Linked DNA regions of Bombyx mori. The protein of the gene in region 2 interacts with the protein of the main gene of each other region in a pairwise test. Links are inferred from orthologs where the notes say so. Each region holds a gene or a part of one and is shown on either strand. Other genes may lie near its edges.

What was found.
Region 1: the proteins of RIMS-binding protein 2 (region 2) and JNK-interacting protein 1 interact in a two-hybrid assay, tested with the Drosophila melanogaster proteins (2 studies listed by BioGRID). The link is inferred for Bombyx mori from reciprocal best matches to the Drosophila melanogaster genes Rbp and Aplip1.

The regions. Positions count from the first base shown.
Region 1 is NC_085107.1:7,555,351-7,559,982, forward strand, and holds the start of JNK-interacting protein 1, read right to left. Parts: upstream 3,090-4,632; 5' UTR 2,916-3,089; coding exon 2,794-2,915; intron 2,610-2,793; coding exon 2,371-2,609; intron 1-2,370. UniProt on the Drosophila melanogaster protein: The JNK-interacting protein (JIP) group of scaffold proteins selectively mediates JNK signaling by aggregating specific components of the MAPK cascade to form a functional JNK signaling module.
Region 2 is NC_085122.1:8,935,068-8,938,901, reverse strand, and holds part of RIMS-binding protein 2, read right to left. Parts: intron 3,152-3,834; coding exon 3,078-3,151; intron 1,935-3,077; coding exon 1,554-1,934; 3' UTR 1-1,553.

The DNA.
Region 1 (4,632 bases), on a different chromosome or scaffold from region 2:
AATAAAAAAAATCCTTTTCGGCGGGAAAGTAGAGAGTGATGCAATATCTATCGTTTTCTTTTAGCAAGCTTTATCTTTTGTAACCGGACCAATTGTGTTTTAACTGTGTAGTTTTATTTTTATTTTGTAAGTTTAGGTACCCATATTTTGAAAATATATACCTACAAATTACCGAAGACTCTCTTCAAAAGAATCGATGTTATAAATAAATTCCGTGAATTTTACTGCGAAACCCACACATGCACTGCACTTAAACAATATTACGTCGTTGCAAATTTGAAATCTCCTATGTGACATTTTGGGTCAAAATGATGTTTTCATATATTATTAATGTTATTTTGAATACCTATACTCAGCAAAAGCAATCTGCATATCTCAATATTTAACTTTATTACGCGTCAATCTTAAAAAAAATTCTAAGTGTCGGTTTGCATTTAGAAGATTGCACAAAGTGGGAATGAGTTGCTCGCTCCGGGCATTTCAATATTGTAATAATTGTTATGTTATAGTTACTTATTGTAAAAATGAATATTTAAAAAAATCTTATATTTAAAAAAAAAATAATCTAATATTTAAAAAAAAAAAGACATGCCTGCTGAGTTTCTTGCCAATTCTTCTCAGGACGGAGGCTAATTCTTGTGAATTGGCGGTAGTTCTTTTGACGTTCAACAAGTATGTACTTTCATTTATGTTGAATAAAACTTTTTTGATTTGATTGATTTGATTGATTGATTGATTGATTGATTTTATTGTAGATCAAAGTATCCTATGTGCTAAAAAAATATTCGGATAATATATTTTTCATGAGGTAGTTTTATTAGATTTTCTCGAAAACTACGTTTATACACATAAGAGATTTCAAATCTCGTGGTCATATTAACAAAACGCCTTATCTTGAACCAATAACTCTCTGAAGACGACTTTTGTTGACATCGGTTTCATTCCTTTTTTTTTATAATATAACTATTTGTAGTTATGAAAATAAGAAACAAACAAGGAATTAAAATATAACTAGCAATGCCATAATGCTCTTAAGACGGACATGAAGGAATACGGAGTTCGCGAGTGATCATTCTTTCGAAATTGGGTCGTGCCTACCGTTACACGTGTTTTTGAAACTTTAAATTTTGAAACTCACAAGAACTCACTGTCGGTAATCATTTTAAATTTAAAGTGTCGTTGCAAATTTCATCGAATTAAAACGAAAATTGCATATCTTGTATAAGACTTAATAAAATGTTATAAGTTTTAGGTATTTTAATAGGTAGTAAGGAAGAACCTGTTCTGGACTAATTGTTAAAGCTAGTTTATTAAGAACATTTTTTTTACAACCACGATGTAATTCTAGTTAACGATGAATTTCAAAAACTAATATCTTAATTAAGCTTCTGTGTGGGGCAGCCGTTGTAACTATACAGAGACCTTAGAACTTATATTTCAATGTGAGTGGCGCATTTACATTATAGATGTCTATGAGATCCACTGAACACCAGTTGGGCTGAGAGCACGTCCACCCATCTAAGCAATAAATAAATAAAAAGCTTCTGATTCAATCTAGAAAATTTAGGTCAAGTCTTCATTGTTAGTTAATAATCGCATATTTAATTAGCAAAATGTCAGTTTTTTTAATAGGTTTTTAATTATTTTTTTCCAACAATAAAGTAATTTACTAAAACCAATTGAGCTAAATAGTTCAACATTTTAAATAAAACTATTTTAGAAATCAGTAGGTGACTAGCTCGGTGGTGCTGTAGCTAGCGCCCTTGTCGGCTGGGTCAAGGATCTTGGCTTCAATTCCCACATCGGGTAAGCATTTGTGTGATCAACATGTTTGTATGCTCTGTCTATGTATTCAATATCTAAATGTATATACGTATATAATAAGGAAGTATATCAGTCTATTGTTATCATAGTATAGGGAATGCTAGGTCTGATTAAAATTAAGGACTAACTAATTAAAAATTAAGGACCTAAACCATCCAGCCTAAAACCAACCAACCTAACCGACTAACCTAAAATTCCAGGAGCAGACTAAGGCGTAAGGCAAGAACAAGTGCACCTAGATACCAAATTCGGTCATTGAATCCGGATATGAGTTACAACGAGACAATCAGATTTGGAATTTGCGTTCATAGACGATTGTTATGTTGACCTTTCCTATAAAAATAAACTATTCTTATTTGACTTTCAATGTTTAACGTAGTGATTATATTCTCTTTAGTCGCTTGAAAATAAATTTATTGACTCGAAATAAGTGTTTTTACTGATAATAACGATCGCTAGGCCTGAAAGAATAAAGTGATCACAATCGCTACGCGCAGTTGCATTGAACACGAAAATGTATTAAATATCATCAATAATGGATCTTACATTTTTTATGTTTCGGGATCTCAGGGAGTTTTCTCCTTCGCCTTTCGCCATTTGTAAACGTCTGGTGACGAGGACTGCGTTGTGTGTCTGCTGCGTCTGCCGGTGGCGGTGGAGACTCCGGATTTTCCGGAATAGATGACCGACCATCGGTTTCGCCTACACATCCTCTGTCTTCTTCGGGGCTACCTTCACTTTTCGAGGAAGGTGACTCATCTTCGAATCCAACATTTGGCACTAATCTATACAACGATAGCATGTGTATCACTAATGTATCTAAAACAATCCGTTGCGCGACAAATTATAGAGGGAATCCAAAGAACATAGCAGCTCACGTGACGCGAATTAGTGTATCACTTGCGATACGCGTAAAAATGAAAGGCGGCCCGTGTTGTATGTCAATGATAATAATAAATTTGTACTCACGAGTAAAAAGGCGTTGGGGCCTTAATGTGTTGCGGTAGTCTATCAAAAACTCGTCGAAATTCTTCAAACTCGCTATCGGCCATGTCGCTACACCTGATTGTTGAGCAGAGAGAATGTCGCATGCGCGACTGCTCCCTGCAACTCTATCGACCCAGACATGTCTCTTGGACAGTAATAGCACACAGTTTTCAAACAGTAGAAATGCGCGCGCATCGATGGGGACCAGAGCGCAAGCGTGCTTTTGTCACCCTAATACAAAACAGGATTTGGGAGTTTGAATTTTATGCTTATGCGTGTGAGTAAATATTAGCGGAACTCACATGCAAGTCAGTCATGACAGTTTTTTTTAGTATTGTTTCACTAAAAATACACATTCGTAGCTGCAATGAACTTCACGGTGGTTAATCAAATATTATTTACTTACTGAAGCATGCTTGCAGATTAGGTACTATAATAGAAAAAAAAAACTAAAATCAATGAGTGAATTATGCGCGTGTGCGAATAAGAGATGTTACATTAGTAAATATATAATTGTAAAGACGAGAAGGAATAGCAAATACTAGTCATAACGCTATTTTTTATTTCGATCACAGAACACAATCAATGTAGGATTTGTGACGAAAATGGGTATTTGTTAGAAAAAAAAGTATAATAACGTACTAAAAATAAATTTGGTATCCTTTAGGTGCATAGAATAGAATAAGTTATTTCAAGCTGCTGAAACCACAGCACTGTGCACTTGGAAATAAATTAAATTAGGAGCACATCATTTGGAGTTTCTCTTTTCTCTTTTGAAGTGGAGTTTCACGGCGTTAGTACATCAGGGCGTAATAACATCACACTATTTTGAAACAGTTGGATAGAAAACTGACTATGTACTTGCAATAAATATTAATGTATATATATGTAAAAATGAATTGCTGTTCGTTAGTTTCGCTAAAACTCGAGAGCGGCTGGACCGATTTGGCTAATTTTGGTTTTGAATTATTTGCGGAAGTCCAGAGATGGTTTAAAAGGTAGATAAATATGAAAATGCTCGGAATTAAATAAAAATATCAACTTTGTTTTTCTTTTAATGTCCCCCCCAAAAGTTTATGTATTTTATTTATCGATTGAAGCACTACGAAGTCTGCCGGGTTAGCTGGTCTATACTAATATTATAAAGAGGAAAGATTTGTTTGTTTGTTTGTTTCGAATAGGCTCCGAAACTACTGGACCGATTTGAAAAATTATTTTTCCATTAGAAGCCAACATTGTCCCTGATGAACATAGGTTACTTTTTTTTTTTTGTTTTGTTTCATATTTGTTTTAATGTTTCCGAAGCGAAGCGAGGGCGGGTCGCTAGTAGTAAATAAATTCATTGAAATGATTGAAGATTGTATTACAACGTCATCTATTGCGGTATACTTGTACTTTAAAACAAATCAGCGTAACTTAACAGAATTGAGTTACTTCAATAATAGATGTCGCCGTCAGATCAGTAAATTTATTATTTTCGTACTCTTCTACTTTTAATATTCAATTATGTATTTAATGACATCAAATACTCCAGAAAATAATAGACTGAACTGCGTTTTCTCTAATATCAATACAGAGAGTGTATATTAATAATATAATATTAATATTATAATAATTTTATGTAAAAAAATAATTACTCACCTGCAATATAAATATGAAAACAACATTTAAAGCCCTTAATATCTCTGCGTAAATTAATATTTAACACAATAATATTCAATATTATTATGAAAGATTAAATTATTCTCGACATTGAATGACATGTAAGTGAACTTGTCTAAGAAAAATCTTTTTAAAAGGTTTTTTTCCTTACATATACAT
Region 2 (3,834 bases):
AGCGATCCCGATGATCAATATGTACAACAATTTTTAGAATTACTTAAACATTTCATATTGAATATTATAATTATCTCGGAATAAATTACTGAATTATGTTTGATTACGATTATTCATTACGCAGTCAAACATTATTTATTATGGTGATCATTTATTAAAATAATTAAGTGTACGTGATATTATTTTGGTAATGAATTTCTAACTTGAAATCAAAACACATCAGTGATGCATTATTGATTTATAACTTATATAAAATATCTTCTCCATGCAAGCAGTCTTGTCATTGGGTTAATTCGCCTTTGTCATAAATGTTTTTTTTTATTATGAACCTAATACCAGATTAAACGTTAGACGTGTTTAATTACGTCTACGGCTTTTGGATACGTAAGAAAAGTAACTATTATATGAAGTTTCCTTCGTAATATAGTTCTTATCGATACACGATTATCTATTGCCACAATAAATGACAAGTTATTGTACATCTTCTTCGAATATAAAGTTCAATTTCAAATGGCAAAAATGCGAACGAATTTCCTGTCCAATGCAGTCGAGAATGTTTTGTGTGAAGTAAATGTATAGTACAATTAGAATATAGATGGTATCACGTCTACTATCACAGTATCTTAGTTTCTATTCGAGAATAATTATTATACCTTAAAGGGATTCAATTACTTAATCGATTTTAAGGTATATAAATTTTACTGACAGCATGGAATCGAGATGAAAGTGAAATTATGACGTCATTTTTTTTAAAATTAGCTTTCAAACTTTTCAACACTTCACTTTTGCAAATTTCTATAAATAATAAAATACGTGTTCCTGCTTTCCATACAATATTTTTCATTGACGATCATGACCGCCGAACGTCGATTAAAAGTCAATCGATATTTTTTTAAATCGATTCCGTTTATTTAAAAGGGACGGTTGCACCATAGCATTGTACAAAGATTAGCGTTAACAAAACATTTATCATAAACAACAATAACTAATCGTAATTTTTCCGTGAGATCAGACTTTAGAGGAAGTTCACATTCTTGTTCCGCTGTTTTATAATATTTTCAAGGGCTATTCACACAGCTAGCTAGATTTAAAACGTAAATTAGAAAATTACAACAAGACTACACCGTAAGGAATATGAAGTAACAACTAGACGGTAACATTATAATTTCTTATTCTACGCAAGAAATAACACAAGTCAAACTCTACTATCGCATAAACAATAACAATGATATAATTCATATTTATTTCTAACCTAAGTAGTTAACGAGCAAACTTCGGAGATAGAGAAGCTTTAGATATAGGTACAACTATTCCCAGATGTCTGAGCTCCATCCATGAATCTACCGAGATAGCACTAACGATCAGATATCCACTATACTGTGCGTGTATTGCATATAACTATTTACAACATGCCTAAATTAAATACAAGCTCCACGAAGAGCCGGATAGATAGTTTGGATTAGCCGCAGGAGTACCAGCCAGTACCAGGGCACCGGGGGAGTGGACGAGACAGCGCGGCGGGAGTCGCACGCCGCGACCCCCTGCGACCGACATTATTTACCACCGAGACCGAATTTCATGAAGATCAGTTCTTTGCCTTTACTAAGAATGTCGCCACCGGGTGCCGTCATTTCGGAGAACTTCTGCATCAGGTTGGGCTGGGATGAGGGGGGCTGCGCCGGCGTGAGGGGCTGCGCGGAAGGCACGACCGCTGGACCTCCGCGTCTGGTAGTTGTTTGCGCCGTAGGACCCCCCGTCGTTGTGCTAGTGGGCCCGGTCGCATTAAGCGGAGTGCTCGCGGAGTTGTTGGAGGTGGGGGGTCCGCTGGGGGGTGCGTTGCCGGGCGACTGGACGGTGGGGGTGCCCGCATTACCAGCGCTCGTTCGCGCGATCGTGTTCGGGGGCTGTCCGCTCGACGCGCCTCTCCCCCTCGCCTGTTGCCAATTATTTATTATTTCATCGTACAACCACAACCCTATTTTTGTAACAGGAATGTGAAAAAATTAAATTTTTGCCTGTGAAAAAATTTATTTTGCAATTTATGTGCTTCAGAATAGTTAAATTTGAATAGAGAATGTGACATCTATGATAATTTTACTTTGAAAGAACGATATGTCACGATACTTGCCATATCGATGCGTTAGAATTTACTGAGTAGAATAAGTACGGTTACATCGTTTCCAATCCAACAGGGAAAAGAAGCATAAAATGGAATTTCTGGTAATAAATTAATTCGTACCTGTTTTTTTTTTTGAAATTTTATTTTCAAACTGTTTATTTTGATGTTTTATCTTGAGATTAAATTTATTTATATCACTTGTAGTACAGACAACATTAAGAACGCGTTGGATTTCGTGCTTTTGACTGAACATGCCGTTTCCATGCACCAAGCGAGTGAAAGATACTAAATCAAAATTATTCTTACTTTTATAAACGCGTCGCCGCGTCGTGATCTAATTATTGATCGAGATTGAGACATGCATCTCATGCTTTGATAAACTACAACAGAAAGCATTTGTGAGAACGTGTTATAATATACTACCCGATTAATGCAAGTACTTCGGACCGAAGTACACACAAATAGGCATGTCATTGACAAGTTAAAATAAAACGCTGTAATCGTGTAGACCACATTGACAGGCCTCGAATGCTTATGCAGTCACTTAAAAAGATGGTGATTGAGCTATTGTAAATCAATGTGAGTGAAGTATGCGACAGTGTTAATGTTGAGTACTTATAGAAACTGGTCAGCATATGTTATGAGAGCTAATGTGTCTATATTCTGGTTCCGTTCGTTATTAAATATAATAATATGTAAATAGTAAAGGACCAAGTACTAGCGATCAGTTTCATTTAAAAACGCCCTCATCTGTACACTGAGCGCAGCGTGAAACGTAACGATAAAATATTATAGAGAAAAAATTAAAATAAAAATGAAGAAAGGAAACAGTGAGAAAACAATAATTCATCTAAATATATGAAAGTGATAGTTGAACATAATAAGACTAGTATAATTGCTTAGTTTATCTGAAGTAGTAGTTTTTGTGGGTTCGATTTATTAAACGGTAAATTTTTACCTGAGAATTCGCCTGTTCTGGATTACTGGCGCATGTGTTGTGGTCTAATTGAGAAGGGGGAAGAGGGCAGGCATCTAGCAAACAGACAATACACCCAACATATATAGTGACCACAGACAACCACCCGAATCTTGGATCACACTTCACCGACACCGCGGGCTCTGTGCAAGTCTATGTTGCGTGTATTTGTACGTCAGCCTACCCACTCGTGTGTGCTAATTACGTGTGGAGCCTCACTGGATTAGACCTCACGGGTTAGGTTAAACAAAAATAAAGATAGGATAGATAATTGGATAGATTAAACGAAAAACAAAGAAAAAACAAAAAATAATAATACAAAAAACAAAAAAAACTATTTCGCATTTTCCCTATTCGATACATGTGGGGGCGTATCGTGTGACCTCATCTTTTTTATAATTTCTTTAAAAAATTTAACGATTTATGTGACTGTGTAATCCAAGATGGTGTTTTAGCAAAATGTATACACCAAGAGTCTTTGTGCTCCGTAGATTGCAACCGGACTTGCATTTGTTTTAAACATTAAATCTTTGCTGTAAATTTAAATATTATAACTAACAAAATTCGGCAAGTCCCGTCGCAATCGTACAAGAAAGATGATAGAGGTTATCTGAGCGAAATAGCTAGCGTCGTTCGATAGTCACATAGCAAGTCCAAGGTGCAAACATGAAACACTCAAAGCTCTCAATGTTCGGGACGGACACGCTTCGTCAGTCGCCGACACTTACCTAAACAATGG